Linked DNA regions of Mus musculus: all the other regions are reported to be linked to region 4. Evidence: microRNA targets listed by miRTarBase, many of them from high-throughput screens and not tested one by one. Region 4 holds a microRNA gene; each other region holds the end of a gene's coding sequence.

The links. The annotated mature microRNA mmu-miR-136-5p reads ACUCCAUUUGUUUUGAUGAUGG and lies in region 4 at 2,216-2,237, opposite strand. An mRNA with a match to its seed (bases 2 to 7 or 8) in the 3' UTR can be bound and repressed. Matches are read on the target gene's strand: a 7mer-m8 pairs with bases 2 to 8, a 7mer-A1 pairs with bases 2 to 7 and ends in A, and an 8mer does both.
Region 1: the mRNA of Hipk1 is a reported target of mmu-miR-136-5p. Seed matches in the 3' UTR shown: 7mer-A1 at 2,816-2,822.
Region 2: miRTarBase lists Scamp5 as a target of mmu-miR-136-5p. Seed matches in the 3' UTR shown: 7mer-A1 at 2,889-2,895.
Region 3: miRTarBase lists Mapk10 as a target of mmu-miR-136-5p. Seed matches in the 3' UTR shown: 7mer-m8 at 1,693-1,699, 7mer-A1 at 2,168-2,174 and 8mer at 4,843-4,850.
Region 5: the mRNA of Gdap1 is a reported target of mmu-miR-136-5p. Seed matches in the 3' UTR shown: 7mer-A1 at 1,540-1,546.
Region 6: miRTarBase lists Saraf as a target of mmu-miR-136-5p. Seed matches in the 3' UTR shown: 7mer-m8 at 4,523-4,529.

What each region holds. Positions count from the first base shown.
Region 1 is chr3:103,738,957-103,744,340 of GRCm38, reverse strand. Hipk1 (homeodomain interacting protein kinase 1) reads left to right here. Exons shown (of 16, transcript NM_010432.2): 16 at 1-4,526. The coding sequence ends at 393. Among named protein-coding and RNA genes, the nearest start is that of Olfml3, 3.6 kb to the right of the region's middle.
Region 2 is chr9:57,439,393-57,444,776 of GRCm38, reverse strand. It overlaps Scamp5 (secretory carrier membrane protein 5), which reads left to right. Exons shown (of 7, transcript NM_020270.3): 7 at 913-3,450. The coding sequence ends at 1,107. Ppcdc (phosphopantothenoylcysteine decarboxylase) reads left to right here and starts at 4,663. Exons shown (of 7, transcript NM_176831.5): 1 at 4,663-4,707.
Region 3 is chr5:102,908,752-102,914,135 of GRCm38, reverse strand. It overlaps Mapk10 (mitogen-activated protein kinase 10), which reads left to right. Exons shown (of 14, transcript NM_001081567.2): 14 at 809-5,384. The coding sequence ends at 951. Among named protein-coding and RNA genes, the nearest start is that of Gm30396, 280 kb to the right of the region's middle.
Region 4 is chr12:109,592,184-109,597,567 of GRCm38, reverse strand. Mir136 (microRNA 136) reads right to left here and starts at 2,241; the gene lies at 2,180-2,241. Rtl1 (retrotransposon Gaglike 1) reads left to right here. Exons shown (of 2, transcript NM_184109.2): 2 at 2,080-5,384. The coding sequence starts at 2,165. It overlaps 6430411K18Rik (RIKEN cDNA 6430411K18 gen), which reads right to left. Exons shown (of 1, transcript NR_002848.3): 1 at 4,717-5,384. It overlaps Mir127 (microRNA 127), which reads right to left and starts at 4,722; the gene lies at 4,653-4,722. It also overlaps Mir434, Mir432 and Mir3071.
Region 5 is chr1:17,160,255-17,165,638 of GRCm38, forward strand. Gdap1 (ganglioside-induced differentiation-associated-protein 1) reads left to right here. Exons shown (of 6, transcript NM_010267.3): 6 at 873-4,017. The coding sequence ends at 1,255. Among named protein-coding and RNA genes, the nearest start is that of Gm28784, 5.5 kb to the right of the region's middle.
Region 6 is chr8:34,169,538-34,174,921 of GRCm38, reverse strand. Saraf (store-operated calcium entry-associated regulatory factor) reads right to left here. Exons shown (of 6, transcript NM_026432.4): 6 at 4,075-4,826. The coding sequence ends at 4,801. Gm33638 (a long non-coding RNA gene) reads left to right here and starts at 1,734. Exons shown (of 3, transcript XR_870316.3): 1 at 1,734-1,840; 2 at 2,748-2,988; 3 at 3,209-3,375.

The sequences.
Region 1 (5,384 bases), not on the chromosome of region 4:
CCCTACGCCTTCCAGCATGGCAGCCCACTGCACTCGACGGGGCACCCACACTTGGCCCCAGCCCCTGCTCACCTGCCAAGCCAGCCTCACCTGTATACGTACGCTGCCCCCACTTCTGCTGCTGCATTGGGCTCCACCAGTTCCATTGCTCATCTGTTCTCCCCCCAGGGTTCCTCAAGGCATGCTGCAGCTTATACCACACACCCTAGCACTCTGGTGCATCAGGTTCCTGTCAGTGTCGGGCCCAGCCTCCTCACTTCTGCCAGTGTGGCCCCTGCTCAGTACCAACACCAGTTTGCCACTCAGTCCTACATCGGGTCTTCCCGAGGCTCAACAATTTACACTGGATACCCGCTGAGTCCTACCAAGATCAGTCAGTATTCTTACTTGTAGTTGATGAGCACGAGGAGGGCTCCGTGGCTGCCTGCTACTAGCCCTGAGTTCTTAATGGGCTCTGGAGAGCACCTCCATTATCTCCTCTTGAAAGTTCCTAGCCAGCAGCGCGTTCTGCGGGGCCCACTGAAGCAGAAGGCTTTTCCCTGGGGAACAGCTCTCGGTGTTGACTGCATTGTTGCAGTCTCCCAAGTCTGCCCTGTTTTTTTAATTCTTTATTCTTGTGACAGCATTTTTGGACGTTGGAAGAGCTCAGAAGCCCATCTTCTGCAGTTACCAAGGAAGAAAGATCGTTCTGAAGTTACCCTCTGTCATACATTTGGTCTCTTTGACTTGGTTTCTATAAATGTTTTTAAAATGAAGTAAAGCTCTTCTTTACGAGGGGAAATGCTGACTTGAAATCCTGTAACAGATGAGAAAGAGTCATTACTTTTTGTTTGCTTAAAAAACTAAAACACAAGACTTCCTTGTCTTTTATTTTGAAAGCAGCTTAGCAAGGCTGTGCTTATGGCGTATGGAAACAGAGTGATTTCATTTTCATGTCGTGCTGTCCTTACTGGGCAGTTGTTAGAGTTTTAGTACAACGAGTACTGAAACCTGTGCAGCTGCTGCTGAGCTGCTCGCAGAGCAGCACTGAACAGGCAGCCAGCGCTGCTGGGAAGGAAGGTGAGGGTGAGGACTGTGCCCACCAGGATTCATTCTAAATGAAGACCATGAGTTCAAGTCCTCCTCCTCTCTCTAGTTTAACTTAAATTCTCCTTATAGAAAAGCCAGTGAGGTGGTAAGTGTATGGTGGTGGTTTGCATACAATAGTATGCAAAATCTCTCTCTAGAATGAGATACTGGCACTGATAAACATTGCCTAAGATTTCTATGAATTTTCAATAATACACGTCTGTGTTTTCCTCATCTCTCCCTTCTGTTTCATGTGACTTATTTGAGGGGAAAACTAAAGAAACTAAAACCAGATAAGTTGTGTATAGCTTTTATACTTTAAAGTAGCTTCCTTTGTATGCCAACAGCAAATTGAATGCTCTCTTACTAAGACTTATGTAATAAGTGCATGTAGGAATTGCAGAAAATATTTTAAAAGTTTATTACTGAATTTAAAAATATTTTAGAAGTTTTGTAATGGTGGTGTTTTAATATTTTGCATAATTAAATATGTACATATTGATTAGAAGAAATATAACAATTTTTCCTCTAACCCAAAATGTTATTTGTAATCAAATGTGTAGTGATTACACTTGAATTGTGTATTTAGTGTGTATCTGATCCTCCAGTGTTACCCCGGAGATGGATTATGTCTCCATTGTATTTAAACCAAAATGAACTGATACTTGTTGGAATGTATGTGAACTAATTGCAATTCTATTAGAGCATATTACTGTAGTGCTGAGAGAGCAGGGGCATTGCCTGCAGAGAGGAGACCTTGGGATTGTTTTGCACAGGTGTGTCTGGTGAGGAGTTGTTCAGTGTGTGTCTTTTCCTTCCCCCTCTCCTCTCTCCCCTTATTGTAGTGCCTTATATGATAATGTAGTGGTTAATAGAGTTTACAGTGAGCTTGCCTTAGGATGACCAGCAAGCCCCAGTGACCCCAAGCTGTTCGCTGGGATTTAACAGAGCAGGTTGAGTAGCTGTGTTGTGTAAATGCGTTCGTGTTCTCAGTCTCCCTACCGACAGTGACAAGTCAAAGCCGCAGCTTTCCTCCTTAACTGCCACCTCTGTCCCGTTCCATTTTGGATCTTCAGCTCAGTTCTCACAGAAGCATTCCCTAACGTGGCTCTCTCACTGTGCCTTGCTACCTGGCTTCTGTGAGAGTTCAGGAAGCAGGCGAGAAGAGTGACGCCAGTGCTAAATATGCATATTTGAAGGTTTGTGCATCACTTAGGATGGGATTCCTTTTCTCTCCTCCATGTGATATGATAGTCCTTTCTGCATAGCTGTCGTTCCTGGTAAACTTTGCTTGGCTTTTTTTTTTTGTTTGTTTTTTGTTTTTTTTTTAAAGCATGTAACAGATGTGTTTATACCAAAGAGCCTGTTGTATTGCTTAATATGTCCCCATACTACGAGAAGGGTTTTGTAGAACTACTGGTGACAAGAAGCTCACAGAAAGGTTTCTTAATTAGTGACGAATATGAAAAAGAAAGCAAAACCTCTTGAATCTGAACAATTCCTGAGGTTTCTTTGGGACAACATGTTGTTCTTGGGGCCCTTCACACTGTAAAATTGTCCTAGTATTCAACCCCTCCATGGATTTGGGTCAAGTTGAAGGTACTAGGGGTGGGGACATTCTTGCCCGTGAGGGATTTGTGGGGAGAAGGTTAACCCTAAGCTACAGATGTGGTCCACCTGAATTAAATTATATCAGAGTGGTAATTCTAGGATTGGTTCTGTGTAGGTGGTGTCAGGGAGGTGCAGGATGGAGATGGGAGATTTCATGGAACCCGGTCAGGAAAGCTCTGAACCAGGTGGAACACCGAGGGGCTGTCAACGAACTTGGAGTTTCTTCATCATGGGGAGGAAGAGTTTCCAGGGCAGGGCAGGTAGTCAGTTTAGCCTGCCGGCAACGTGGTGTGTGTTGTCTTTTCTTTAATCATTATATTAAGCTGTGCGTTCAGCAGTCTGTTGGTTGAGATAACCACGCATCATTGTGTAGTTTGTCACTAGTGTTATACCGTTTATGTCATTCTGTGTGTGATCTTTGTGTTTCCTTTCCCCCAAGCATTCTGGGTTTTTCCTATTTAAATACAGTTCTAGTTTCTAGGCAAACATTTTTTTTTTTAACCTTTTCTCTATAAGGGACAAGATTTATTGTTTTTATAGGAATGAGATGCAGGGAAAAAACAAACCAACCCTGTCCCCACCTCCTCACCTCCCTAATCCAATAAGCAGTTATTGAAGATGGGAGTCTTAAATTTATGGGAAAAGAGGATGCCTAGGAGTTTGCATCGTTACCTGAGACATCTGGCTAGCAGTGTGACTTTACAGACTTTGAGGTTGTCACTCTGCAAACTGACATTTCAGATTTTCCTAGATAACCCATCTGTGTCTGCTGAATGTGTATGCGCCAGACATAGTTTTACATTCATTCTGGCCTGGGGCTTAACATTGACTGCTTGCCCTGATGGCATGGAGGAGAGCCCTACGAACATAGCGCTGACCTAGGTCAGCATTGCCTGACCTTGGAACAGCTTAAGGCTTTAAACCTTCTCTTAGAACGTGCATTTCCAGTTTCTCCCTTCCCAGGTGAGAGAGGAACTGGAAGGGTTGCATAGGCACACACCAGGACACTTAGTCACTCCAGAGTCCCCAGTTGCAACTAGGAGGTGGTTACCCTGTTAACCCCAGGAAGAAGAACCCCATTTCAAACAGTTCCGGCCATTGAGAGCCTGCTTTTGTGGTTGCTCATCCGTCATCATCCGCTAGAGGGGCTTAGCCAGGCCAGCACAGTACTGGCTGTCCTATTCTGCATTAGTATGCAGGAATTTACTAGTTGAGATGGTTTGTTTTAGGATAGGAGATGAAATTGCCTCTCGGTGACAGGAATGGCCAAGCCTGCTTTGTGTTTTTTTTTAACTGATGGATGGTGCAGCATGTCTCCACGTTTCCATGGTTGTTTGTTGCTAAACTTTATATAATGTGTGGTTTCAATTCAATTCAGCTTGAAAAATAATCTCACTATATGTAGCAGTACATTATATGTACATTATATGTAATGTTAGTATTTCTGCTTTGAATCCTTGATATTGCAATGGAATTCCTACTTTATTAAATGTATTTGATATGCTAGTTCCTGTGTGTGGTTAAACTTTTTTTCTTTCTCCCTTTTCTGGTTGTGTGCTTCCTTTACAACAAGCTTCTAGAAACAGGTAGTTCTGAGAATTACTGATCTATGTTTGTAATGCAGGTGTACTTAGGGAGTATGTAAAATCATTTTAACAAAAGAAATAGCTATTTAAAATTTAATACTAACTATGGGAAAAGGGTCCATTGTGTAAAACATAGTTTATCTTTGGATTCGTTGTTGTCTTTGGTTTTACAAAGTAGCTTGTATTTTCAGTATTTTCTACATAATATGGTAAAAAAGTAGAGCAGTTGCAATGCATCAATAAAATGGGTAAATTTTCTGACTGTGGCTGGTTTCAATTCTGTGTTAGGACATGGAGGGGACTGACATGTGGCCTCTTTGAAGTGCCTAAGCATTCTGTTTGAACATGAGTAGAAAGAACACTGCTACATTAGAACATCTTTGTACACATTTCCATACTGGAAATGAATATAATTTTGTAGGAAGTATTTCCCTGACTCTGACCCCTTGAAAAGGCAGATGGCTTTTGAGATAAACTAATTAACATCATTTCCTAGCACATGACACCAAACATTCAAATCAGCACAGTGAAAATGAAACTTAGGGAAAGATATTTTTGTCTGTCTCCTTAGGCCCTGTTAGAGCTGTCACCTCTTTAGGGACAGCTCTGCGGTAATGCACCTGCTGCTCTTATGGAGGGTCTGGGTTCCATTCCCAGCACCCAGTCAGACCCCTCACAAGTGATTTCTAACTCCAGCTGCAGGGTGCATACCCACACAGACACATAATGAACTCTTAAAAACAAGAAGAACCTCTGATCCAATTTCTCTTGATTCCAAAGTGAACAAAATTTTCTCCTGAAAAGAAACTGGAATTTGTCTAGATTAATCACTGCAGGCCCCTTTGTAAATGCTGCATATTTGACTTCTTCTGATGTATGTTCCTGCCTAGCTCCCCTGTAGCTTTAGCTGGATAGAAAGGAGGAACATGGGCTGGAGAGAAGGCTTAGTAGTTGAGTGTACTGTTCTTTCAGAGGAGAGGGGCTCAGTGCTCAGGAACAATAGGCAGCGCACAATCTCCTAAAATTCAGCTCTGGAAGATCTGACGTCCTCGTCTGGTCCCCACGGATACCTGTATCCCATGCAGATACCTGTATACAGACACATAAAAGCATATGTAA
Region 2 (5,384 bases), not on the chromosome of region 4:
TAAACTAGGTGGAAGGCAAGAACTGAGACTAGAGGTTCGTTCTCTCTCTCTCTCTCTCTCTCACATAGACACACACACACACACACACACACACACACACAACACACACAGACACACAGACACAGAACACAGAAGTCTGAGTTACTTACTCCGTGAGCTGATTTTTCTTTTCTTTCTTTCTTTCTTTTTTTTTTAAAGATTTATTTATTTTATGTATGTGAGTACACTACTGTAGCTGTCTTCAGACCCACCAGATGAGGGCATTGGGTTCCATTACAGATGACTGTGAGCCACCATGTGGTTGCTGGGAATTGAACACAGGATCTCTGGAAGAGCAGTCAGTGCTCTCAACCGCTGAGCCATCTCTCCAGCCCCCAAGGAGGACTAATTTTTCACAAAAGGATCCTATCTGTTTCCTGAATAGCTGCCCACCCAATTTTTTAAAACATTATTATTGTTTTGTTGTTGTTGCTATTGTTATTATTGTTATTTTTGGCTTTTTAGACAGGATTTTTCTGTAGCCCTGTCTGGCTATCCTGGAACTCACTCTGAGGACCAGGCTAGCCTCGAACTCAGAAATCCACCTGCCTCTGCCTCCCAAGTGCTGGGATTAAAGGCGGGTGCCATAGTGCTCAGCTTCAATTTTTTTTTTTTTTGAGATAGGGACTTATGAAACCCAGGCTGACCTCAAACTCAACATGTATTGAAGAATTACGTGCCATTGTCTCCCCAAGGGCTGGGGTTACAGGCGCGTGGCAGTTACCGCTCCTGGCCTTTTATTTATTTTTATTTTTGTTTTCTAGACAGCCTCTTAAATCATGATCCTCCTTGCCCCTTTAGGGCTTGCAGGGTGCAACACTGTGCCCTGCGTGCTGTCCTCTGCTTAACCATTCCCTGTGGTTGCTTCTGCAGGTTCATAAGTTCTACCGGGGTAGCGGAGGCAGTTTCAGCAAGGCTCAGGAGGAATGGACCACTGGAGCGTGGAAGAACCCACATGTGCAGCAGGCAGCCCAGAATGCAGCCATGGGGGCTGCTCAGGGTGCCATGAATCAACCGCAGACTCAGTATTCTGCCACTCCCAACTACACGTACTCCAATGAGATGTGAGCCAGCCAAGCCCACCAGGAGGCAGGGCTGGGGGCCAGTGGGACAGGGGGCTTAAGCCACATCTTCTGTGTGGTGACCAAGCAGGGTTCCCCCTTCCCTTTTCTCCTCCCCAACTTTGTACAAAGAATCAGAGTTATATATATATATATATATATGTGTGTACGTATATGTATATGTCTATCCCTGCCCCCACCTTTGGGTCCTCTGGGAACTTTGCACTGCACAAGAAGTGTTTTCTGTGCATTGGTAGCCAAGCCTATGTCCCCTTGTGAGATAATGTACAGTGGCGATCTCTTGTTGTGGTGCTAGATGTATGTTTAGAACTAAACCAGCCCCCTCCATCCATCAGGTTGTCCCCTCTGACCCTGGCCCAGAGACTCCACAGGCCAGGGGGAGGCCTAGCAGGGAGCCAGATACCTTGTGCAGGGTGATGAGCCTAAGCTATTTCTGCCTTTAGTCCCATTGGGAAGCAACAGTATTAGTGTTCATGGTGATAGGCAGGTTCTAGGCGATGGGACAGAGAGGATGTCCCCTTGCTCCCTGTAGTCCTCCCTCCACCTCCTCTTCCCCTCGTTCCTCCCTCATTGTGAGATTCTTTGTGCTCATTTCCCTAGCTGGCTCCTCCGTGATCTTTTTCCTCCCCATGTAGCTTTTCGTTGTCTTCCTAAAGCGGGGTGTCTCAGTTATGTCTGCTTTTAAGACTACCCAGATACCCCCAATCCGCTCCCCAGTTCCAGGAAGCTGACATGGGAGCTCAGCCAACCCTGACGTGGAAGGGGCACCCAGCTTGGGGATTCTGAGCCCATTTGGTACTTGATACGGGGGAGGGGGGGGAATGGAAATGCAGAGCTGATCTCCTTGATTCTGCAAGCCTGGCCCGCAGAGGCAGGCATCTCCTTTTCCCTCTCCTGGCTTCCACCCCTTGCTGCCCAGATCCACCTTGAGCCGCTCTGCATTTCCCGCTGGCTTGTATGAGGCACTTGCCAGGTGTAAAGGCCGTGGTGGAACAGAGGGCATCATTGGTCGCTGGGGGAGGTGTGGCTGGCCCCAGCTCAGAAGGGCTTCTAGCTTCTCAAAGTGACCACTGGATTCCTGGAAGGAGTAGCTGTTCTAATTGAGTCTGGCAGAAAGGATAGAGGTCAGAAGGTTAGGTCTGAAGGGGGAAGATCTGAGGAGAAGTCAAATAGGACCCATTGAGAGGGTAGTTCACCTCTCCAGTCTCCCTTGTCCTGGCTACAGGACACATTCTGCAGAGATGCTCCCAGGCCCAGTTCAAGCTGCAAGCACAATGTCCTGAGTAGGATTCCTGGTTGGCAGGAGGAAGGGCAGGATGGCTCTGCCTTTAGTTTTTAGTTTAGTGTTCTGTCCTTCCCTCCTCTTCCATTCACGAGAACGACAGGATTCGATTCCAGGCCTTTCCTTAGTTCTCTTAGAACCCTCATCTCTCTCTAGACTGATCTTAGTTCCTGGGACTGTATCTTTCAAGCAGGGTGTGGACATTGTCTGGTATCTTATTCCTCTGCATGAGGCCTGAGGTGGGTAGGCCTTACCAAGGAGCAGCTGGCTGTTTCTCATCTCCTTGCAACAGAAACCCACCTAGGCTAGGGAGACTGGAAAACCATACCACATTGGTTTGCCTTGGACCCTAAGACTTGGTTTCAGGCCACCTTGAGCTTTGATTTTTCAGCTTCTTCCTTGTAAGAGAATCCAAGAGTGTCTGGAAAGTTCCTTTCCTGTTGACTCCCTAGGCTTAGTTGATTCTCTCCCCTACTGTTTTCTCTATGGAGAGCAGTTGTCATAGCTCCTGCTACCCTGAGAGATTCTAGGGCTAGGCTCTTCCTCCTCTTCCCTTCTCCCAGCTCCCTTTCTCTTAGTCCTCTGTTACTTCCAGGAAAGCTGTGATCCAGCTGCCAGCCTAGCATCCACAGCTGTTGGGTGTTACCCCCAGTCAACTTCCTGTCCTATCGGCCTCTCCTCTTTCCTGGCTCACACCTATTGGCCATGCCTGGCACTGCCCTTGGGAAAGCCTGTCACCAGTGTCTGGCCCAGCTGCTCAGGCACTGGGATGCTGCATCTTCAGGCAACTATGCACTTTGATGAGGAGAGAGTGAGAGAGATGGGGCCGGGCACAGATGGTTTGCTTGAGGGGTGGGAGGGCCTGGTGGATGCTGGGAGTCCTCCTGTCTGTCGCCAGCCAGTGACCTGCTTTTGCATTCTCCTGGTGCCCACTGCCCCTTGTTTCTGAGAGACACAAACTATCCCCTCATTGGCAGTTGACCTGCCCGAGCCAGTGTCTATCTGTGTAACTGGATGAATATAATAAAGGGATCATTTGACCCTGTATGTCCCTCTGTGTTACTTGTCTCCATGTGGGTCTCAATGAAGCCTTGATGTGGGATGTGAAGCAGGGTTGTGGAATTGAGTTGAGTGGATCTGTGATGCCAAAAACCATGTATTTTGTGATCCTTCCTCTGAAGCAGCCCTGAGTAGGCCATGAAGTAGTTGCCACAACTACCAGTTAGGAAATAGGAGTGGCCTGTAACACTGAGTGAGGCGCATGGCCTGACTGTGTCTGTGACTTAGGGTTTCCATTGCTGTGAAGAGACACCACGACCAAGGCAACTGTTATAAAAGGATAACATTTAACTGAGACTGGCTTGCAAGTTCAGAGGCTCAGTCCAGTATTGTCAAGGCGGGAAGTATGGCAGCATCCAAGCAGTCATGGTGCTACAGAAGCTGAGAGTTCTATAACTTATTCCAAAGGCAGTCAAGAGAAGACTGGCCTCAGGTGGCTAGGAAGATATATTTGCCCACCCCCACAGTGACACACTTCCTCCAACAAGGCCACACCCACTCCAACAAGGCCATACTTCCTAATTGTTCCTAATTCCCTGGGCTAAGCATATTCAAACCACCATAGCCCTTAGTGTTAGGACTAGAAGACTGGCCTTCCTTAGCTCCCATGGTGGGTCTCTTGAAGCTGATTGAGTGGGCTCAATGAACATGTAAGTTCTTGAAATTTCTGATTGCTGCAGGGTAATGACTACAACGATTCGAATGTGCCTAGGCTTTGCCAAAGATGTGCTCTCTAAGAATGTTGTCTAGATCCTCTGTGATGGTCATCTCTCAAGATTCCTCTCAAGTAGCAATGGGCACGGTAGCACACCCCTTTGATCCCAGCACTTATGAGGCAGAAGCTGGCAGAGTTCTAAGTTTCAGACATGCCAGTTATTGAAAGAGAGAGAGAAAGGAAAGAAAGAAAGAAAGAAAGAGAGAAAGAAAAGAAAAAGAAAGAAAAGGAAGGAAAGAAAAAGAAAAAGAAAGAAGGAAAGAAAGAGAAAGAGGGAGAGAGAGAGAAAGAAAGAAAGAAAAAAAAGAAAAAAAGAAAAAGATTGCTCAAAGTGAGCCTTTCAATGTCGCGGCTCCCCTGCCTAATGTGGCTTTAGCCTTGCACAGGGAGCCCCAATGACTACAACTCCCAGAAGCCACAGAAATAGACCACGACTCCCAGAAGGCCATGCGATCACTCGCTTTCTCTGGAGTCATTTAGAGCCGGAAAGGCGCCTAGATACCGCGATACTTGCGGGTATCCTGGAGCTGGTGAGCAGTGGAAGGGGCGGGAAAGCTGTGTCGGTGGTGCCGCCGGGTGGGGCGGTGGGAGAAGCTCCTCTGGTCGCTGTGGGTCCGCGTGAAGGTCCATGTGTAATGTGTCAGATGTGGGGCTATAGGTGTGACTCCAGTCTCAGAATTGGGGGCTATGCAGCTGCACCGGTGCCCGCAGATATCATGCTCTATCCTTAGTTTAAAAGACACCCACACTTGACGCTTACCTTTGAAAAACTGCAGCATAAGGTGCCCCCCTCCCAAAGATTTAGGACCGCCCCGAAATACAAACTTTTTTTTTTTTTTTTAAATTACGTTTATTTTGTAAGAGGGGTGGCTGTCACAGCGTGCGTGTTGAGGTCATAGGACGACCTGCAGGACTCAGTTCTACCCTGTAAGTCCCGCCCTCATTCAGGGCCTCAGACTTGTCTGCAAGCTACCTTGCTGAGCCAACGTGCCTCAAATTGTATTTTATAATCATAAACGAGAGAAAGGAGAACGCTGGCAGTATTTAGATGCTTAAACCCTAAACTTGCCGAGTGGCATTTCAAATTAGAGTTAGAGCAGTTTTTGTCAGAAAAAAAAATGTCACCGTCACCGACGTTTGGAATATTGGAAGCCAGAACTAGATAGTGGGCAGGAGAGATTCCCAGCTGCAGGAAGTGATGCGTGTT
Region 3 (5,384 bases), not on the chromosome of region 4:
TCTGGGGCCTTTGACCCATCTTCCCTTCCTTGTTCTGGCAGGTAGGGACTCACAGCCAGTCTTTGCTGAGGGTGCCCCGCCAGAGTTTCAGACACTTGCAGCAGAATGAAAGATGCTTTCAAATTAATAACCCAATATTCACAGGTCCTAAACAACTGAGTCTGCTGGCAGGACACCCAAGCTCAGAGGGCATGCTCTGGCCTATCTTTCCTTCTGCTCGCCACTAACATTTCTCTAGAGTCTTGGCTTTTCAACATCGATCTGCATTTTGGTATTCCATTTAATGATTATATAATACTCTGTGTTTTATATACTTACATTTCCTTAGAGCTGTAGTCATCACAAATTCTGACCGCTGGGCTTTGCCTTGGCTTATTTCTGGTCTAAGACCATCATGTGTGCTTGTTTTACCTCCTTCATCGAAAGCTTCAGGATCAGGCCAGTGGTTTTCTGTCCCCTGAATGACTATAGAGCCCCTAGGGTCTTACATAAGGATGCAACGGCCTTGGCTTCACCCAAGCTCAGTATCGTTACAACACTGGGACTTAGAGGTGGATGGTGTGAGCAGTGAGTGATTTCTAATCCAGAGCGAAATTGATAACCATTAACCTGTGAATAGATGTGACATGCGATGGGGTTTCTGAATTGTGTCTCCTTGAGTTCCACCATCAAGTTCAGTTCAATGAAGGTCTGCCAAAGAGATAGAAGAGACATTTCTTCTTGTTATACCCATCCCCACACTGAACATCCTGAGCACATGGGTCTGGTTCCAGATTTAGTCATGTTGGTCTTCATTTTCTTAGCACAGGTGCAGCAGTGAACAGCAGTGAGAGTCTCCCTCCATCCTCGTCTGTCAACGACATCTCCTCCATGTCCACCGACCAGACCCTCGCATCTGACACTGACAGCAGCCTGGAGGCCTCGGCGGGACCGTTGGGTTGTTGCAGGTGACTAGCCGCCTGCCTGCGAAACCCAGCGTTCTTCAGGAGATGACGCGATAGAACACAGCACACATGCACACACACAGCTTGCTCTCACACACACTCAGCTTGCTCACACACACACACACACATACACACAAACACACACTGTCTCTCTCTCACACACACACACTGTCACAACGCACTCACGAAAGGTCAAGAAAAAAATAACAATAGAGAGATCCAACATAAAATTAAGTTAAATTTTTCTGCGTGCTTCTCCAAAGTTCTGTATCACAGCTGAGCTGAAATGTATACTTAACTTCTAGTTGCGCTCGCTTTGGTTTCCCTCCAGCAGTGCTTACTACACAAGACAAATCAGACACAATTAGAGAAACCTTTCCCTAAAGTGTAACTTAAGTGGCTGCAGAACCAGCAACCTGTAACTGCCCTTCAAATGGCATGAGGAGGTGGGCACGGGTCCCGCCCAGCATGTGTGTGTCTCTATCTCGCGTCTACCTGCTCTTCCGGCCTAGTCAGATGGATGTAGATACAGATCCCGCATGTGTCTGTATTCAAACAGCACTTAGAGATGCTCCTGTCAGTGTCCTCCAGGCTCCACCAAGACACACACCGGGGTACCACATGGTCCATTTCATGTGATCTATTACTCTGACATAAATCCATCTGTAATATATTGCCAGTATATAAGCTGTTTAGTTTGTTAATTGATTAAGCTGTATGTCTTATAAGAGACTATGTAAAGGGGGAAAATGGAGGCGTGAACTCTCAGACCCTTGAAGATGTAGCTTCCGAATTTGAACCGATTAAATGGCACCTGTATACCAATTTGTAGAAAGAACATATGTGATGCTTAAATCCAGGGTGGGGGGAGGGAGGGAGCAATAGCTTTCAGGTTCTAAATAGGGTTGTCCTTTAGATGGAAGATGTGAGTCAAAGCCAAGGGCGCTCTCTCTGGAAGTCAGTGAGTAGCAGGGACCAGAGCGTATTGCTGCAGTATAGACTGAACGGAAGGAAACCACTGCCCAGGGGCCGGGGGATGGCGCATCTGTGTTCTAAACATTGGACACTATTGTTTATTTTTAAAATTACGGTCAAAAGAGCAAGTTGCTGAAGGAAGGGACAGGCGTCAAGACAGGATCATTGTGCACAAATCCCGGGTGGTAAAAGCCCTTTCCCGAGACACAGTGGAGAGACCTTCATGTGACTGACTTTAGAGAAGATTGATGGAGATTATAGGGCATGTTTCCCATGTGTGAGCTGCTTCCCAGAGTCCTCCCCTGCTGATATTTTATTCCCTCTTCTGGAATTGGATAACATAATTAAAATAAAATCCCCAAAGCACACAGAGAGATCTTCAGGATAGCATCTCCAAGCATCTTCATGGGCTGTGTTTTCCCTCAGAGGGATTTCCCAGGCCCCTTGGTATGACTGGTGTTTCATACTTATTGATGTATTTTCATAGATGTGTGTAATCTGAGAAGGGCTGATAACCTGACTTTTGTACTGCAGTAGATACACGAGAGCAATAACGCCGTGCCAACGTAGCTCCTACTAGCTAGCATTAGCAGCGACTTTGTCCTAAAGCCATGAAACGTTTGTGTGTTTAGTGAAATCATCTGAATTTAGCTCAAATCCCCGAGAGATCCTATCTGAGCACTCAGAGAGGCACTGTGAAACATCGTGGTTATATACAAGGCAATGCCTGTGTGGCTTCTGAGCAATAACAGGCCAGGCCTGGCTTCCCTTCTTCCTCCCTTGGGTGAAGCATCCACTACAGTTATTTGCACTCTGGCCACTTTGGTGCTCACCCCTGTGGTGATATTTCACCTGAGGAAAAGTGGAACGTGTGAGCAGATGAAGGTAATGGGCCTGGCAGATGGGAAAGCCTTGACTACAGAGGAAACAGCAATGCCGGGGCTCTGCAAACTGCCTTAAACCCAACAGCGTGGAAGATCTTCTCTCTTCAAGCAATAGTCAGTCAGAAGCCTCAGACCCATCCCCAACTCCTGCCACCACCACATCCCTCCATTCCCAACAAATACACACACACACACACACACACACACACACTACATACAGACAACACACTGCTGTGTGGCCATTCCTGGGATTGCTTCCCACAGCACGGTTCATTGCAAGACGTGATATTGAAAAGGGAGAGAAGAGAAGTGGTGGGCGGGAGCTAGCTAGCTACCTTCAGATCTTAGAGGGTGCAGCTCATTCCCCTGGATAAAGATATCCGTCTGTAGCTGGATCTTTTGGTTAATGTTGTGGACAAAGTGATCTTTATAAACACTGATTCATTTTCATGATCTCTCTCCCTTTCCCATCTACCTTCGTTCTTTTTTTTTTTCTATTTCTTAACTTACCTGTATTCTCTTCTTTTTCTGTAGTTTGCTTTTATGAGTGTGATCTCTGCACTCCCTCACCCTATATCACACCAGATTAATGCCCAGACAACTGCTTGATAGAAACAAGTTTCAAGGGGGAATTCCATAATAATCAAGATGGTGACAGACAGGCAGGGCTCTCAGCGGAATGGCGGATGTGCTTAACAGTCAGGATCCTACTGACAAGTGCTGACCATTTCTACTGGGTAGATGAAAGCAGGCAAATCAGATTACCTCGTCTTCCCCTCCTTCAGGTTAGCCTGGGTACCAGTAGCACGTCTCCTAGTGGCCGGCACCCTTGGACAGAGATCCCCCATGGACAAGAAAATAGGAAGCAAATCTCTTGGGTTTTAAATAGCACATTGAGGGAAAGATGAACATTTAGCTCCTGGATCTCATGAAGGATTGGTTTTTAGCTAAGCCAGGGATGGATGGAGGAGAAACAACCCTGAGGGTCAATGTCAAAACATTCCCATTGAGACCCCCAATGCTCTGAGAATGTTCACAGTATACATTATGCCCTCTAGTGGGTCTTGCTAGGAAAAAAAAAAACCCAGTATTTATTTTATGTAATATCGGTTACACACAAGAGTGTTCTTGTTTTGGGGGCAGAGAACTGTTCTGAGACCTGGACTGTGTTTGTGGAAGATTCAAAGGAGCTTCATGTATTCATTTTGCAACAGAAGGTTGGCATAGTGAGGACTTACAAATCTGTCCCTTCAGTAGGCAACCTTGGTCCTTAATATGTTCCATGGTGTTCTGTAGAAAGGGAGAGGGTGTATTTTTTTGCTGGTTAGGGAGTGTTTGGTGGGTCAGTGTGATCATTTTTTCCAATGGGATACATTGACCTTATAGCCCAATTTTTTTCTTGTGCAATAAAGATGGAAACTAATACTTCATCTCTCAGAATCCATCATTAGAGCTTCATAGGTCTTTATCCCAGGGCTGGACTAGGATGTAGCCAAGTCTTAGCAGTTGGAGGAAACATGCTCACTTGATGGCTCAGTGGTAGCGTGGCTGGCTTCTCTCAGTCAGTTATCACTACCAGAACGAGTATCATATAAAGGCACCGATAACAGCTGACCAGTAGATGAGAGAGACTTGGTCATGGAGCATAGAACAAACTGAATGCATGAACAAGACATCATTCTGTGATCTGTTAGGGCAAAGACTAACTGGTCTCATTCTACAGCTCTTAAGTATTTACCACAGAGGCCAGGTTATACAAAATCTACTGCTGTTCCGTTTTCTTAGCAAATAAGAACGTACTGTGTTCTGTAAAGAATTTTGTTAATTAACTTTGCTGGGAAAGATAATGTTTATGATCCAGAGAGAGCAGAGAAGTCTTTGGGGGGTGTGGATTTTGATCCCAGCTTCTTTGGGTCTGAAGAGCAATCCTCTCACCACTCCAACACTCCTGCCCTCATGGATACGTGCACATGTTAACTTCAAGAGTCCACTGTCTTCCACGTGTAGCCTTAGAAATGGCACTAACTAAACAAACTAAAAATGGAGAATGTAAACAACCAAATCAGTCATTTTCCTTGCGACTAAAATATAAACGGTATCTCCTCTTTGGGCACCCAGAGAGATCTTTGTTAATTCACTTTGGTCAGTCAAAGCGAAGTGGTAGAATTTTTTTTTTTTTACATGTGAACTGTTCATTTTATTCTTGCTCATGTGGGACCAACGGCCAGTATATCCCAGTAGAGATGAATTTCCCAGCCCTCATTTGCCACCATTTGTCCTCCGTGTCATAGGACAATAGCAGGGTGCCTACCTTTGCCTGCTATTCTGCATGACTGGACCCCCCCCCAAAAAAAACTACTGATGAAGAGAATTGTCCTATGTCAGTGTTTATGAGATGTGTCTACAGCACCCCCCCCCCACACACACACATGTTCACATTTGCCCATATAGTTCTCTCAACCTGGAAGCCAAAATCATGTATGTCCAATCTCGTTGCAAAGTCGTGGAGGTGAGACAGGCTGTCACTAGCCTGATAGGTTTGTTGTGCTCTCAATGGTGTCAAATATGGGATCAAACTCAT
Region 4 (5,384 bases):
TTATTCTGATATCCAGGCATATTAAAATTTTTAGGACAAGAGATTTTTGGTTGAGGGCTGGAAAGCAGAAATATCTAATCCCTTACATGATCAAATTTGTCTGTAATATTTTAAGTATAGGCATTTTATTTAGAACGGGTATCATTTAGCTTTAAAATCGGATTGCTGCAAATTTAAAAATTGAAACCATGAGCAATTTTTAGGTGGAGACCTGCTGAGATTTTTATGTCCCGCAGATGAACTTGGGGATGAATTAGTCAAATTTTATATTTTAATAATAGACGACTTTTCCTGAAAGAGGAAATAAGTTGATTTATGTAATATGCTGTGCATGTTTCTGAGCTGATGGTCTGTACAGCAGGCTCAGGACCTGTGATCTCCAGTTCTAGGAATGAGAAGCCCAACGTGGACATTATGCTAAGGCCTTTCAATTTCAGCCAGGAGTTTTTTTTTTTTTTTTTTTTTTTTTTTGGTAAGTTTACATGTCAGACATGTTTATATAAAAGGTTTGGATTTAATATTGCCGACAGTAAATAAACAGTGAGAGGCTTTAATCAGAGGGGTTGCATGATCGAATTTAAGTGTCATGCTAACAAGGAGATGTCTAATTCTGAGAAACTGCAGACCCAAAAGCATCCTGCTGCAAGGTTTGGAGGATGGCCAACGGGAGTTTTACATGAATGACAACATGGGAGATTTCTGTTTATTTGGTTTTGTGTGTGTATGTGTGTGTGTTTCTGTTTTTGGATAGGTCAGCCCAGTGACCTTAAAAAAGAAAATTGAGAAGTAACAGAAGGTGCAGAATTCATAAAGACAATAGCTATATGGCTGAGCTATTGAATAACTAGCTTAATTTGTTTTGCAAACCAATACATCCCTTTAAATTCAATTTCCGTGCACTAAACCCTCCATGGCTAGATTTTCAAAAATTACGGAACAATCAGATTTCAAAGGTCCCATGCCCCCCCTTTCACCCAACTTCATACCTCTGTTAGATATACCCCTGTACCAGACGAAATCAACAGTGACAGAAAAGGGGGGGGGGGCACTTTTGAGAACGAAAACCCTGCTCCTGCCGAAGCAGAGGAGAAACTTGGAAAGATAGCATTTGTGAGACGTGCAGAAATGTTTGCATGAGCAGAATTGAGGCCAGATGTTTAAAGCTGCAGGAGCCCTGCAGACCAGGCAATCCTGGGAGAACAGTTTTTTTGAAAGCCCGGGAAAGGGTGTTTAGAAAGCTCCGACTCAGCTCAGAGCTGGAGAAAACGTGGCTTTGGACAGAGATCAAACCGAACAAGAGAAATGATACTATCCCTCCCCCACCCCCCTCTTATCCTGCATATGCACAAAGTGTGACCTAGGATGAAGCCATGAAAGTGCATGTTTTCAGCACATAGTAGGCATTTTATAAACATTTATGGGGAGCAAAATTAAAACCAAAAGCCATGGCTCTCTCTCACTTATTTCGGCTTGGAGCCTAGAGGAGGAAATAAGAGCTATTTTTGGCTGTTGACCCAACTGGCAGGATAGTGGCCAAGTGCCCAATTTCTCCTCTTTCCCCAGTTTGTGAAATAGCAGGCATCTCCCTGCAGATTCCCGCCTCCAACCAAGCTCACTGGGCTGGCTCTAGACCACCAAGCCTGCCAGCAGCCGCTTTGAGTGGCATTGAGATGTGACCTTTATGACTTTTGGGTGACTACAAATGGGAAGGGAACCTGGCCAGGGCAAAGCGGGCCAGAAGTGTGCCCTGCCAGGTGCTAGCTCGCCACAGAGGACGCTCCAGGCCAGTTGCTCCACAAAATTTATGGGCTGTGAATTTCTCATTCCACTAGAGGAAGTAGGCAGGTGGGGTAGTCAGACTCCGCCTGGAAGGCAGGTCAGGGGGTGACGGTCTTTCCCCTGGAGGTGCCCCAAGTAACCAGAAAAGGAGGCTGAACTGAATGCAGGAGGAATTTCTCCATTTTCTCTCTGATTCTAGTAACTTGGCATCTGCTTTGTCCTTGAGATAGAATCTGACCCTGCCATCTTGAGAACCTAAATTGCTACATTTTCTCCTGTCTTTTATCCCTCTGTCCCTAGGTTTTGGTCTCCACAGTTGCGGTCTCTGACCACACACATCACAATCTTACCAGTCTTCAGAGCACACTCCTTTCCAACCGACGACATGATAGAACCCTCTGAAGACTCATTTGAGACGATGATGGAGCTTAAGAATCCATCATCAAAACAAATGGAGTCCTCCGAGGGCTCATCCAACACCGTTGAAGAGACACCAGGCAGCAGTGGAGCCCAGGCGGGGGCCCAGGCAGGGGCCCAGGCGGAGGCCCAGGCGGAGACCCAGGTGGAGGCCCAGGCGGAGGCTCAGGCTGAAGCCCAGGTTGAGGCCCAGGTTGAGGCCCAGGCGGGCTCAGATAGTGGCCCAGCCCAGGAAGAAAAGGAGCCACCCAGTGGCCCCCTCAAGGAAATGCAAGAGCTGCCCACTAATCTACTCCAAGAAGTGGAGGAGCCATCCAGTGGCCCCCACCAGGAAATGCAAGAGCTGCCCACTGATCTACTCCAAGAAGTGGAGGAGCCATCCAGTGGCCCCCACCAGGAAATGCAAGAGCTACCCACTGATCTACTCCGGGAAGTGGAGGAGCCATCCAGTGGCCCCTACCAGGAAATGCAAGAGCTACCCACTGATCTACTCCGGGAAGTGGAGGAGCCATCCAGTGGCCCCTACCAGGAAATGCAAGAGCTACCCACTGATCTACTCCGGGAAGTGGAGGAGCCATCCAGTGGCCCCTACCAGGAAATGCAAGAGCTACCCACTGATCTACTCCGGGAAGTGGAGGAGCCATCCAGTGGCCCCTACCAGGAAATGCAAGAGCTACCCACTGATCTACTCCGGGAAGTGGAGGAGCCATCCAGCGACCCCTGTGAGGCATCATCTAACGATCTACCCCAAGACATGGAGGAATCAAGTGATGATGGTTCGAACCAGGAGTCGAGTGATGGTTCAAACCACGAATTAAGTAATGGTTCAAACCATGAGTCGAGCTTTGGTTCAAACCCAGAGTCGAGCGATGTTTCCAACCTGGAGTCAAGCGGTGGTTCAAACCAGGAGTCCAGCGATGGTTCACAAAAGGAGTCAAGCTATGATTCAAACCCGGAGTTAAGTGATAATTCAAACCAGGAGTTAAGCGATAATTCGAACCAGGAGTCAAGCGACAGTTCAAACCAGTCAAGTGATATTTCAAACCAGGAAGGGTCGGAACCACTCAGTGAGGCATCCGATTATAGCATGGATGAAACAATCAACTCATCCGAGACCCAGTCAGACCAAGATGATACTGACCTGGGAGATGACGAGGAAGAGGAGGAAGAGGAAGGTGGTGAAGAGGAAGGTCAGCCCAAGAACTCTCCAGAAGAAGTCGTGGCCACCATGGGGAACGTCATCTCGCTGTTCCTCCGGATGCAAGACCTAAAAGAACAACAGAGAGTGGCAGAAAGGCTCATGATGCAGGCTATCAACGAAGGTCGCCTGCCCTCCCTCAGGCCCTTCTCTGGAGATCGCAGAGACTACCATGAGTTTGTCGTGCTCTGCCAGATGACAATGCAGAACTACCCAAGTATGCTATACAATGATGAGCTGCGGGTGAAATTCGTCATCCGCCACCTGACTGACCTAGCCTTGGAATGGGCCAACGACCTCGTAGAGCAGAACAGCCCAGTGATAAACAACTTCTCAGCCTTCCTGGAGGCCATGTCAGAAAAGTTTGAGTATCGGCAGACCCTGCGTGTGGCGGAAGACGCCATGTTCAACATCAGGCAGGGGAACCGCTGTGCGGCCGATTACATCAATGAGTTCCGGGGTCTGATACCCACCTTAGGCTGGCCAGATGAAGTCCTGCAGGCCCACCTGTGCCAGGGGCTCAACGAAGAGATCAGGCACTATCTGTTCCGGATCCCTCAGCCGAATTCCCTAGACAACCTGATTGTACTTGTCCTGCAACTTGAAGAAAAGCTGGCAGAGAGAAGAGCATTACTCAGGCTGCCACCTGAGTCGCGCCCAAGAAGCGTAGCCTGGATGGATGCTCCCGCCCCAGAGAAGTGGAGGGTAAGCAGCTGGCTGCCCAATGAGTTCCACCCAGACATTGATCGCGATCACCTCTTCTTACTGCTCTTGGTGAGAGTGGACCCCTACCACAGTGTCGCAGTGCGGGCCCTGGTGGACTCAGGAGCAGAAGGGAACTACATGGATGAGAGGTTTGCCCAGGAACACTATGTGGAACTCTATGAGAAGCCTTATCCACAGATAATCCAAGGTGTGGATGGCATCCCAATTGGCAATGAACCCGTCTGGCTGTGCACCGAGCCCCTGGTATGTGTCCACCAGAAGCATTATGAGTACATCGAATTTGACATCTTACCTTCGCCCAACTTCTCCATCGTCTTAGGCATGAAGTGGCTCCGAACCCATGCCCCTGAAGTCGACTGGATGAGAGGCCGGTGTACCTTCCACTCTCCCTACTGTCTGCGGAATTGCTTCACCCCACCTCCACCATGCATCGCACTAGAGACATACAGCATAAGCCTACTGCCCGGATTGCCACACACATACTCAGACCTGGCCGACGTGTTTAACCCGAGGGAGGCAGATGATGAGACTTCCGACCAGCCAAGCTCAGACGGATCCGATGATCTTTCTGAATCAGAGCCCTCTGAGCTTCAGCAGGCTGGAGACAGTGATCAAAGCGGCGTCTTTTACGAGTCTGGGGCCCGAGAGACTTTGGAACCTGTGAGCGCCAGGATGCAAGAGAAAGCCAGGCAGCAAGAGAAAGCCAGGGAGCAAGAGGAATACTGGATACTGTATGACATGCTGACTGACAGACAAGACTACACGCAGATGGTACCAGAGCTATTCGACCAGCTACATGGAGCGGCATGGTTCACAAAACTGGAGCTGCTTGGGATTAAGGAAAGTGAGATGAGGCACACGGTCACACACACGGAAGACACTTGGAGAGCATCGTTCGGTTTCGGCCTTCACCAGATGAGATGCTACCGGCCCTTCACAATGAACTCATACTCTGACGAAGGGAACAACATTGTTCACTTCATCCTAAAAGACATCCTAGGGTTGTTTGTGATTTGCCATGGCAGAGAGGTCCTGGTCTACTCAATGAGCCAGGAGGAACACTCCCAGCATGTCCGCCAAGTCCTGGTCCGCTTTCGGTATCACAACATCTACTGTTCACTGGACAAAACTCAGTTCCATCGCCAGACCGCTGAAATCTTGGGCTTCAACATATCCCCCAAAGGGGTGAAACTGAACAAGAACCTTATGAACCTCATCGTGGGGTGCCCTGTCCCTGGCAGCAGGAGGTGTCTTCAAAGTGTGA
Region 5 (5,384 bases), not on the chromosome of region 4:
TTTCAATAATGTCTGTCTGGGAGATGTGACCTTAACCAGCTTCACAAATTTTTAGAGTGGTTTGGTTGAATAATCCAGATAATTTCTTGTATGTCCTCTCTGTTTTTTTCATCAGTTAGGGAAATAGCTTGCCTCTAAAGTGTAAGGTGGGAGCAAGTGGCAGCAAGTGAGTATAGTGGGCTCCAGAACATCATCTATAGGTTGCATCTGGGAGCCTCAGCAATCAGCCATTTTTCATGGGGATTATTTGTGCATTTTGACTGAAGACAGTGTTGCCTGAAACTTCTTTCATCACAGGGGCACAGCTGGGTTTGTCAGTTCTCATCTGTCATCCTAGTACTTGTAAGGTTGAGGCAGGGGCATTGCCAGCAGTTCAAGAACTTTCAGAGATAGAGAGTAAGCCCTTATCTTAAGAAAAAAAAAATCTTAAATGAAATAAAAAGAAAGAATGACTGCTTTCTACTTTAAAGAAATGTAGCTATTGTTCTGTTCCATGAGGGTTAATTGGTTTCAGCAGCAACTGAAGATTCCATACTTCATGGATTGTCAGGTCCTTTTTGTAAAATGATTTGGTATTAAGATAACCTCCTGTGTACTTGAAGTCATTCTTGATTACTTTTAATACATAGTATAATGTGAAGAGCATGCAAATCGCTCTTATGGTGTATTGTATAAATGATAATGATAAGAAACAAAGGGACGTTTGTGGCTGACAAATGTCAAACACCTGTGAGTTTGGGATAACTCTGCATGACTGTGATGGTCAAGATGTCATGTGATTATCTTTTCCCTTAGGTCTCAGACTGCAAATGGGAGCTGTAGTCTGTCTGTATCATGCTTGCCCCTAATTCTCATTCCTTTTCTCTGATTAGAGGAGGGCAACCAGCCTTGGCTCTGTGGAGAATCCTTTACACTGGCAGATGTCTCACTGGCTGTCACATTGCATCGGCTGAAGTTCCTGGGGTTTGCAAGACGAAACTGGGGACATGGAAAGAGACCGAACTTGGAAACCTATTATGAGCGTGTCTTGAAGAGAAAAACATTTAACAAGGTTTTAGGACATGTCAACAATATATTAATCTCTGCGGTGCTGCCAACAGCATTCCGGGTGGCCAAAAAAAGGGCCCCAAAAGTTCTTGGCAGCACCCTTGTGGTTGGTTTGCTTGTAGGAATGGGATATTTTGCATTTATGCTTTTCAGAAGGAGACTTGGCAGCATGATATTAGCACTTAGACCCAGACCAAATTATTTCTAGGTTTGTTGGGATCTGTGGTAGCAGCACACGGAATCACTCCACTAGACCCTCATCCACTTGTCCAGACCCAGTGAAGATTTAGCCTTGGCAATTAGTAGAGAGCATACTTTATATAATTCACGGGGAGCTCATGTGGGAGAAGGAGCTAATGATATGTTTTTTTCTTCTTTCTCTCTGTCTCTTTCTCTTTCTTCCTTTCTTTTTTTGTAGACAACATGACTTACTTCTAATCTATCCCTAAAGGCCAGTATAACTGCTGACAGATTGGGGGGAGGGAACCTTTGATGGAGATTGTTAGTTCATGTATGTTCTCAGGTATTTTTTGAGAGGTTGTAATTAGGAGCAGACAGTAATAACAACCCATGATTGCTCATAGTGCCTCACCTGAGAGTGACTGCAGGTCTGGGTGTTGAACAGTTATAGGATTCCTCTGGGACTCAGAGGCATCTTTGTTATACTAGACAGAGTTCAGACACAAACAAGACATTGTACTGATTCATCTTTCACTAGCAGCTTTAGGCATAAGTAAAGGAGAAAATGAGAAAGGGGAGAAAGAAAATGAGAGAATGAAGTACATCCAGAACAGAGCAGTAGATGCTAACCTCCAGTGGCCTTCATTGCTGCCCATGGTTGCCTCTCTCTTTGGGGAATTTCACATATACCTACTTGTGGTCATGTACCCTCCTTAACTCAGAACTTTTAGGGAGGAGAGGGCTGGGAAGTTAGTGGGGATAGTATACTGGGGAGAAACCTATGCACTGCATAGAAAACACTTCATTTGACCTTAATTATGAGTTACACTTGTTAATTTAATAAGATTAAGTTATTATGCACTTGAATGAGATGCCCATTGAAACATATGTCTAGCACTTTTATGAATGTCTAAAAGGATAGTAGGGTAGTCTTCATGGCTCCCATGGCCACGTGAGGTGCTCATCCTGTATATGATTGTCTTCAGTCCTGGGAACCTTGGCCTCGACAGCCCTATTTATGCATACAAGTAATATATAGATGAATGTCTCAAGTAAATATGGCTTATGGATGGTAGTGGATAATTTGATGAGAACTAAATATGCTTAGTTTTATTTGGAGAGACTAGTACATTCATGCACAAACTGTTGGCCAGGCTTTGTATTTGTTTATGATTATTGACAGAGCTTTACATTAAAGAAAAAAGTAAAAGCTAGCATTAGATATTGACAGCTAATTTGGGAAAGGTAAAATATATAGCTAGCTAGATGTCCACCCATACTCATCCATGTGTGTTTAAATATTTGGGGGATATATCAGTCCATATGGAAGAGACGGTTCATGGATGACCTAGGAATAGCCATCAGACTATAATGCATGATTTTTGCTCAGGACAAGCCTCCTATTAAAGCAGGGAGGCAGTTTTCCTGGAGCTGGCTGTCAAAGCCTTAGGAGAAGCTTCAAGAATCTGATGGGAAGCTTGTCCACAGACTGTGAGTAAAGAGAAAGTCTGCTTGGATGACCTCAGGTGAACTATGCACATGGCCAAAAAATGTACTGACGTTTATTAATAGGAAAATGTCACAACCAGCAAGCAATGGCTTTCTGATGATAAAAACAATTCTATAATTCCTTTTTGATTCTATTATTCCATTTCATAAGCTAGATGTACTTAAAAAAAGAACCCATATGAGCAGGATGTGTCCTGTTTGTAAAAAACAAGCAAAACAGCAACATCAAAACAAAAAACCCTAACACCCCCATGTGAACTCAGATCTATGATGAGGAAATGCACGCAGCTTTTGTGCCATCTTCCTCTGCCCATCAATGTGTCATGCAGAGTGTCTGAATCTGCTTATTGCTAGGACATTGCTGTCATTGTATTTATACAACAGTCATAAAATTAACTGACTAGTGATTCAGAATTTCTTACAATGTTCTGATAGAAATAAAAAGTGAGGCACAAAGAAGTAACAATGGGAATTTTGTAAAAAAAAAAAAAAATCTACAAAAGGTACTTATTTACTTGTGAAAGGATTGTTAAAGAGTGAATTTTCTTTCAGTATATGTTATGATGGAGTCAGAAAATCACCAGGAAATTATGATTTTCATCTGTAATTTATTTGGAGGTAGATGTGTGCCAGTGTTCAAGGCGAGGCATCCAAGCCTCTTCAATGTTTTATAGGTAGGTATTCTTGACATTAGTGCTTTAAAAATATTTGTCTAGTGATAAAACCCTGACCACTAGATGTCGCTGTTCACCCAGTAGTCTAAGACTGTTCCATTTGGTTTGGCATGTGTGAGAGGTTTCAAGTGACGATAAAACATTAATGACCTTAGTTTCTGAGGGAATCTTCATTAAGATTAGCCACCTGTGAAAAAGTTTGGGACAAATGTAGTATTGATTTCTTATGCGTTGCGAGTGATGTCAGCACCGTATGATAAGGAGGTGCACAGCCACTGTTAGCCAGAGAGGCACTTTAATGCATCTTCTTTTTAGGATCATGGTAACTGGTCAATATGCTTCTCATGTGAAAAAAAAAAGTATAAATGCCACAGCTAGAAAATGCCCAAGGCATTAACAGGTTATGTTGCCTATTTCTTAACATACATGCACACTATTTTATTGGTACTGCCATTATATGCCTTTTGATTCTCAAGACTGGTGAACTGCTTGCTCGTTTTAGTAATCATTGCTATTGATATCAAAGTTGTAATGTATTGTTGATTGTCATGGGAAATTAAAGATATTATTCTGATGGTAAGATCAATAAAAATAATTTGAAAATAAATGTTTTCTGGGTCACAAAGGGCTACTTTAAAAATCTTTTTAAAATGACATATTTTCACTTAAAAATAAAAGCGTCAGGACTGGAGTTGCTTAGTGGTGGAATCCTCATCAACATATAGAAGGCTTGGGTTTAATCCTGGTATTGAAAAAGAAAGAAAATGAAAACAATTAGAGGTAATAGAGGAAAGTCAGCAGTGCAGTTCTGAAGACAGATAGTTGTGTCATGCTTTCCTTGTAAGTCACTGAGTCAACTGAAATACACACTCTATGGCTACACTGAGTGGCAGCCTAAAGAGGAATGTTGATGTTAGTTATTAGAGCAGGGCACTTGAATCACATCCGGGATGAGCATCGAGTGGGAGGTTCTATGGATTGCTCTCAGGATAATTTATGTTTTTGACACAGCCACGTCTCTTCCTTTAATTGGGTATGGATTATGAACATAGAAACTACCACATGCATTTCCAGTATCAGTAAGCCTAGCTATTGTTCTACATAGCAACTAGAAACTGAGTACTATTTTAATGTTATCCTGACACAAGCTAAGTAAGCAGAAGTCTCCTTGCCCTTATCTTCCTTGAGTTCACCAAGCAAAAGTCAATACCCATGGAAAGCCAAGGAAATATGAAACTCATGTTGGAGAAAAAAAAGTCACCAATGGAAAAACACAAAAGGAAATTTAATACAACAGAATTAGTGTTAGACTTAAATTGCATATTATTTATATCAAATGTTGGCTCATTTGTTTTGTTTTCTGTACCAACATCAGAATATTTTGCTTCCCAAATGCTGCCAGCTAGTTTGCTGTTTTAGAAGGTAAGGCAGTGGAGTCTAAGGCAATTAAACAAAGTCAAAAGAGTACAAGGATAGTGGTTTGTTTACTTATTTGTTACATTATGAAAATGAAGCAAGATGGAGAGGAAGAACTCACTGGAGGGTGAGCACACCCACGAAAGCTGAAGCATGGGTTCTAAGGATGGAGGACCAAAGAACTGGTGAGATGATAGAGGGAAAGAAGTAGAGCAGACTCCCTGGTCAACACATCAAAGCCATGCCAGTTTGGAGACAATACACATGTGATGGGCAATGGTCTACTCCTGTGCAAGTAGAGGGGTCATCTTAACTATAGATGCCTTGTCAGAACCTAAGCATTGGGCTGGAGAGATGACTCAGTGGTTAAGAGCACTGACTGCTCTTGTGAAGGTGCTGAGTTCAATTCCCAGCAACCACATGATGGCTCACAAACATTTGTAATAAGATCTGATGCCCTTTTCTGGGGTGTCTGAAGACAGCTACAGTGTACTTACATATAATAATAGATAAATCTTTAAAAAAAAAAAAAGAACCTAAGCATTGGCTTCTTAACAG
Region 6 (5,384 bases), not on the chromosome of region 4:
CAGGATCTCCCTCTGACACAGCTACAGCACTTCCTGGACTTCTGAGTTGCACTATCAGGGCTCCCAGCAGCTACTCACTAAGCCAAAATCTCAGACGTGACAAGAGACTCTCGTGCTTTATTCACATTCTCGCACTAGACAAGTGACCTGGTGTCCAAGAGGAAAAAGGGACCTGCTTATCTTGGCTTCTTTTAAGCTGCTAGCTTGCACAAACTGGTCTAGCACCTAAGGAAGCAAAGCCCCCACTAACAAACACTGTTACATAAGCCTCCGGCCAATGTGAGCTTTTCATGCTACTGAACAAACAGGTCAAAAAGGAGTTTGTGGCACTGGCCAGGGTAACTCATCCTAACTACCCTGGAAAAATGTTCTGCTTCTACTCAGAACAAAGGAGACTGTATCTCCTTGAATAATCTTTCAGGTCTATGGTACAACCAACCTATTATTTGCTCTCTTCTATTACGGGGATCCTGGTGGTTTTCCTGAACCTGGCCATATTTTTTTTTGTAGTAAATAGTTCCTTAATTAAATCCTCACAACTATTCTGCTTTTAGCTGGGTCATGATAGCAGACATTTAATCCCAGCACTCCGTGGCAGAGAGAGGTGGATCGCTGAGTTCAAAGCCAGCCTGGTCTACAGAGAGAGATCCAGGACAACCAGGACTACACAGAGAAACTCTGCCTTGGGGGGGGGCAGATATTAGGCTTTGACTGTGCCATCTATTTCTTCCTGTGACCCTACTTGATACTTCAGATACCAGAGACATAGCCTTGAACAAAATAGAAAAAAAAATCTTATAAGGAAATTGAATGAGAAGTACCAAAATTAATCAAGAAAACTAGGAAGAGACAGGAACTATCTGGAAAAATGATAGGTAACAATGGTAAATTGTTACCATTAGACCTTACTAAATGTTACACTATTATACTATATCCTGTGTCAGATAGTGTCTTAGTTAGGGTTTCACTGCTGTGAACAGACACCATGACCAAGGCAACTCTTGTAAGGACAACATTTAATTGGGGCTGGCTTACAGGTTCAGAGGTTCAGTCCATTATCAAGGTGGGAACATAGCAACATCCAGGCAGGCATGGTGCAGGAGGAGCTGAGAGTTCTACATCTTTATCTGAAGGCTGCTAGCAGAATACTGGCTTCCAAGTAGCTAGGATGAGGGTCTTAATGTCCACACCCACAATGACACACCTACTCTATAGAGCCACACCTTCTAACAGTGCCACTCCCTGGGACGAGCATATCCAAACCATCACAGATAGCCTTCTCTTACTATGGACCCATAAAAGCTAGCAGCTTTGGGGGTCAATAAGTATACCAGAGTAGCACTCTGTAGACAACAAGTTGCCTCCAAAGTCCTCCGAAGTGTTGTGCCTTTTCTTTTTAGAATGGGTGGCATGCAAAACAGCCCTGTCCTGTCTTGCCAGGAAGGAACAGTCAGCACTGTGACACATCGTGTAAAGCGCTGAGTCACCTCTCCCCTTAGAAGTTTATCTCATCTGGTCTGCCAACCTTCCTCTGTCTTAGTGTTTACAGCTTTCATCTCTAGAGGTGAACAGAGATTAGAATGGCCTTAGAGAACAGGGATTGTTCATATACTCCATGGAGGCATAGTTCAGCACACTCCATACCACTGGATCCCTAGAAATCTCACTAGAAGGCCCAAGAAATTTTGTCTGATCTCTTTCTCACCGTCCAGCATGGTTTACCTGGGACACGGATTATCATCCGTGTCGTGGACTGGTGGGAAGTCTTAAGAGAGTCGTGATCACAGATAGTGACTAACTGCATGATGACATGTGGCCAGAGAATGAATATCCTCCTGAGGTAAGAAAGCGAGGGTGTACTGATGGCCTTGCCAGCTGCTAGATGCCTCTGGTGGGGCTGTACTGAGATATAAAGAGGGGAAGCATTTGTCAGTATGGCAGCTGCACACCTGATATGTTAATGGACTGAAGCAATAAAATCACAACTGCAATTGGAGTCACCTCTGAATAGCTTATGACTAGTATTCTCAAAGATGTGCTTTCTGCACAGGCCAAGCAGTGAACTAAGTGAGGGTCCTAACCCTCCATCCTTCAAGCCTTTAATGGTGTGGTAGTTGGAATAGGTATGGCACCCCAGATCATGCATTTGAATGCTTGGCTCATTGGGAGTGGCACAATTAGGAGGTGTGGCCTTGTTGGAGGATGTCTGTCACCATGGAGTCTGGCTTTAAAGTTATGCTCAGTGTGGTACACAGTCACCTGCTACTTAAGGATGGAGATGTAGAACCCTCAGCTCCTTCTCCAGTGCCATGTCTGCCTGGACACTGTCATGCGTCCCACCATGATGATAACCTCTAAACCTCTGAATCTGTAAGCCAGCCCCCAATAAAATGTTGTTCTTTACAAGAGTTGCCTTGGTCATGGCGTCTCTTCTCAGCAATGGGAACCCTAAGACAGACGATATCACACATCTCCACAATCCCTCCAGAGATGGGGGTGTTGCTTTCGCTTTCCTTGTCTTAAGCATACATGGTTTTACATTTGGGGAGGCTGTCAGTCTGAGATGAGAACATAAGCAGGCCCATACTCTTTTCGAAGGTTCCAGGAAAGGCTCTGCCCCAGGCCTGTCTCCAGGCTCCTGGTAGCTTGCTAACCTATGTCATACATTGGTTTGTGACAACATAATTTCAATCTTCGCATGATGTTCTGAGTGTGCGTTGAGTCTCCTTTCTCCCACATTGTGACAGGAGTTGTAATGGTTGATTGCCAACCTGACGGGAATGAAAACTCCCGGATTAGTAAAGCCAGCCTTGGTGGTGAATACACACGTGCTAACACCATCACCACCAAAAGAAGAGTACTGGGTGTCCTGTGACACTACAACAGTTATAGCCATCACTGGGCCACAGGAAACTTTCATCTCCATGGTAACCTGATAGGAGCGGAGTCATACACGCAGTGGAAGTGTGTGCTCTGGACTCTCTCAAGGTGGGTGGCTTATATGATAAACCCATTCTAAAATGCTGTTCTCCTGAGTATGGTGACTCCTGGTGTGCAGTCCTCTCCCCCCATGGGTCACATAGTGGACTGCACCCTTTGGTGCCTCCTGGAATGTGGGTCCAGATGGGTGGCAGAGAGGCCGGGAAGAACTCCTGGGGAGACTCAGCAGTCCCTTGCAGGAACACCTCTGTGATTACATGCCCTGCAGGCAAAGCAGCAAGGTCTTCTCAGAGGTGGAGCTGTCGCTAAGGGCAAGGAAGACACAGAACTGAGACCTTTATCTCCATTTCTATTCCTTGGAACTGCAACTTCTCCAGCCTGTGGTCTTCAACTAAAAATAAAAAACAGTCCTTGGTGGGTTGGGACACTTGAAGACTTAGTTTTAAAAACTGTCTTTTTTTTTAAGCAGAGGCCCTCATCCACCCTGAAGTTTTTTGTTGTTTTGTTTTTTAGTTATTTTGTGTGTGCATGTGTGTGGGAGGGAGGGAGGGAGGGAGGGAGGGAGGGAGGGAGGGAGGGAGGGAGGGAGGGAGGGAGGGAGGGAAGGAAGGAAAGAAGGGAGGAAAGAAGGGAGGAAGGTAGGTAGGTAGGTTGGGTAGTTGGTACCCTCACAGGTCGGATCTCCTAGAGCCGGAGTCAGAAGCTGCCCAACCCAGTTACTGAGAAGCAAACTCTTACCGATTCTCTAGTCCCCTAAGTTTCTGTTTTGTTAGAGACGGGGTCTCTCACTGTATAACCTTGGCTGGCTTCCAACTCAGAGGTTTCCTTCTGCCTCTTAAAGGTATGCACTGCTACTCTTAGCCTGTTTTGTCATTTTTCAATTAAGTGTGTGTGTGTGTGTGTGTGTGTGTGTGTGTGTATGTGCATATGAGTGCAAGCTCCCTTGGAGACCAGCGACAACCATGTCCCCTAGAACCAGCGTCTAGGCCAGTGTGAGCTGCCTGATATGGGTGCCAGGAACCAAACCCAGGTCACCCATGGAGCAGTACAAGCTCTTAACCAGTGCGCCATGCATCCCTTGAGCCCCAGAAGTGGGTGCCTGTGTGAGATGAGGAAACCACACACGAAACACGCTTCAGCAGTACAAAGAACAAGAATACTTCCTGTCTTTTTAATTTATTGTCATATTAATGTAAGGCTAAAACAAAATGTCACAACAACATCTGACAGTTTAAGACTCCACAGAGAACTCCATGCTTTTGCGTCTGAATGCTACCACCTGAAAACTGACGTCTAGCGGTTCCAAGCCTTCTGTGCATGTCGTTTGCTTTCTACCCTTCCTGTGAAAGGTCAGAATCCCCAGGCGCTGACCACCACAGAAGGGTCCAAGCTCTACTGATCAAGCGATTGCAACCCACAAATCAGCATAATTAGTAGTCGGCACTGGGCTTAAATGTTTGAAGAACAGCAAACACCAAGTGTTTTAATATCCAATAGAGGATCGTTGTTTCTACGAGGGAATGACTCATGGTCCAAAGCCACCTAGCTCAAGCGGTCTGTGCTCAGTCTCAGCAGGAGGGTGCTCCATTCCTAATGCCCCCTCTGGTATGAAAGGCTTGAGACACAAGCACAATGTCAGCATTCCACAGTGGCCATCGCTTTGAACTGCATGTTACATTATCATACAAACCATAGCATTTTGTCACATATCAACTCTTGGCCACAAACAACGGGACACGAAAAGCTACACAAGGACCAAACACCACACAACTTTTGGTTATTCCCATTAGCCAGGTGTTAAAGAGATGGTGATGACAAATCAGAAACTTTGCATCCAGTGTTTGCCTTCAATTTCCTATTTTACCGTCTTCTGGTGCCACCATATCCTAGGATGAGAAAAACAAAGTCTGCATTAGCTTTTCAAAATATATGAAAATTGTTCATAATGTTTCAGAAGTTGTATGTGCTTCTTGTCAGCACAGAAGAAAGCAAGCTATGAGGGAAGGCTACCACGCAGCACGACGTGGAACACGACAGTGTGAGACCCAACAAGGCAGACCCTCAGTCAGCAAGTCCACAATTGCTCTCAGGAAGGCAAGGAGGTGCTCCCATGTGAGCTAGCTAACAAGCAAGCCATATGCCACTATGCAAATAAGAACCACGAATATGCAAAGTCTAAGCCAAAAAATGCAGAAAGGACAGTGGGCCATACACCATGTCCTGCTCACTCACAACTCAAACTCACCGATAAAGGGACGAAACGGGGGCCGTGGACTTTTAATGGTTTAATGTGTTATTTGAATACCACCCACCCACCATCCCACATACTCCATAACAAACAGGCTGTCAATAGTTTAGAACATCGCTGAGCTAATCTGTCAGTGCAGAGGGTATGTACCTGTTGCTGAAATACAGCTGCCTGTCTGGATCTGTAAGTTCCACAT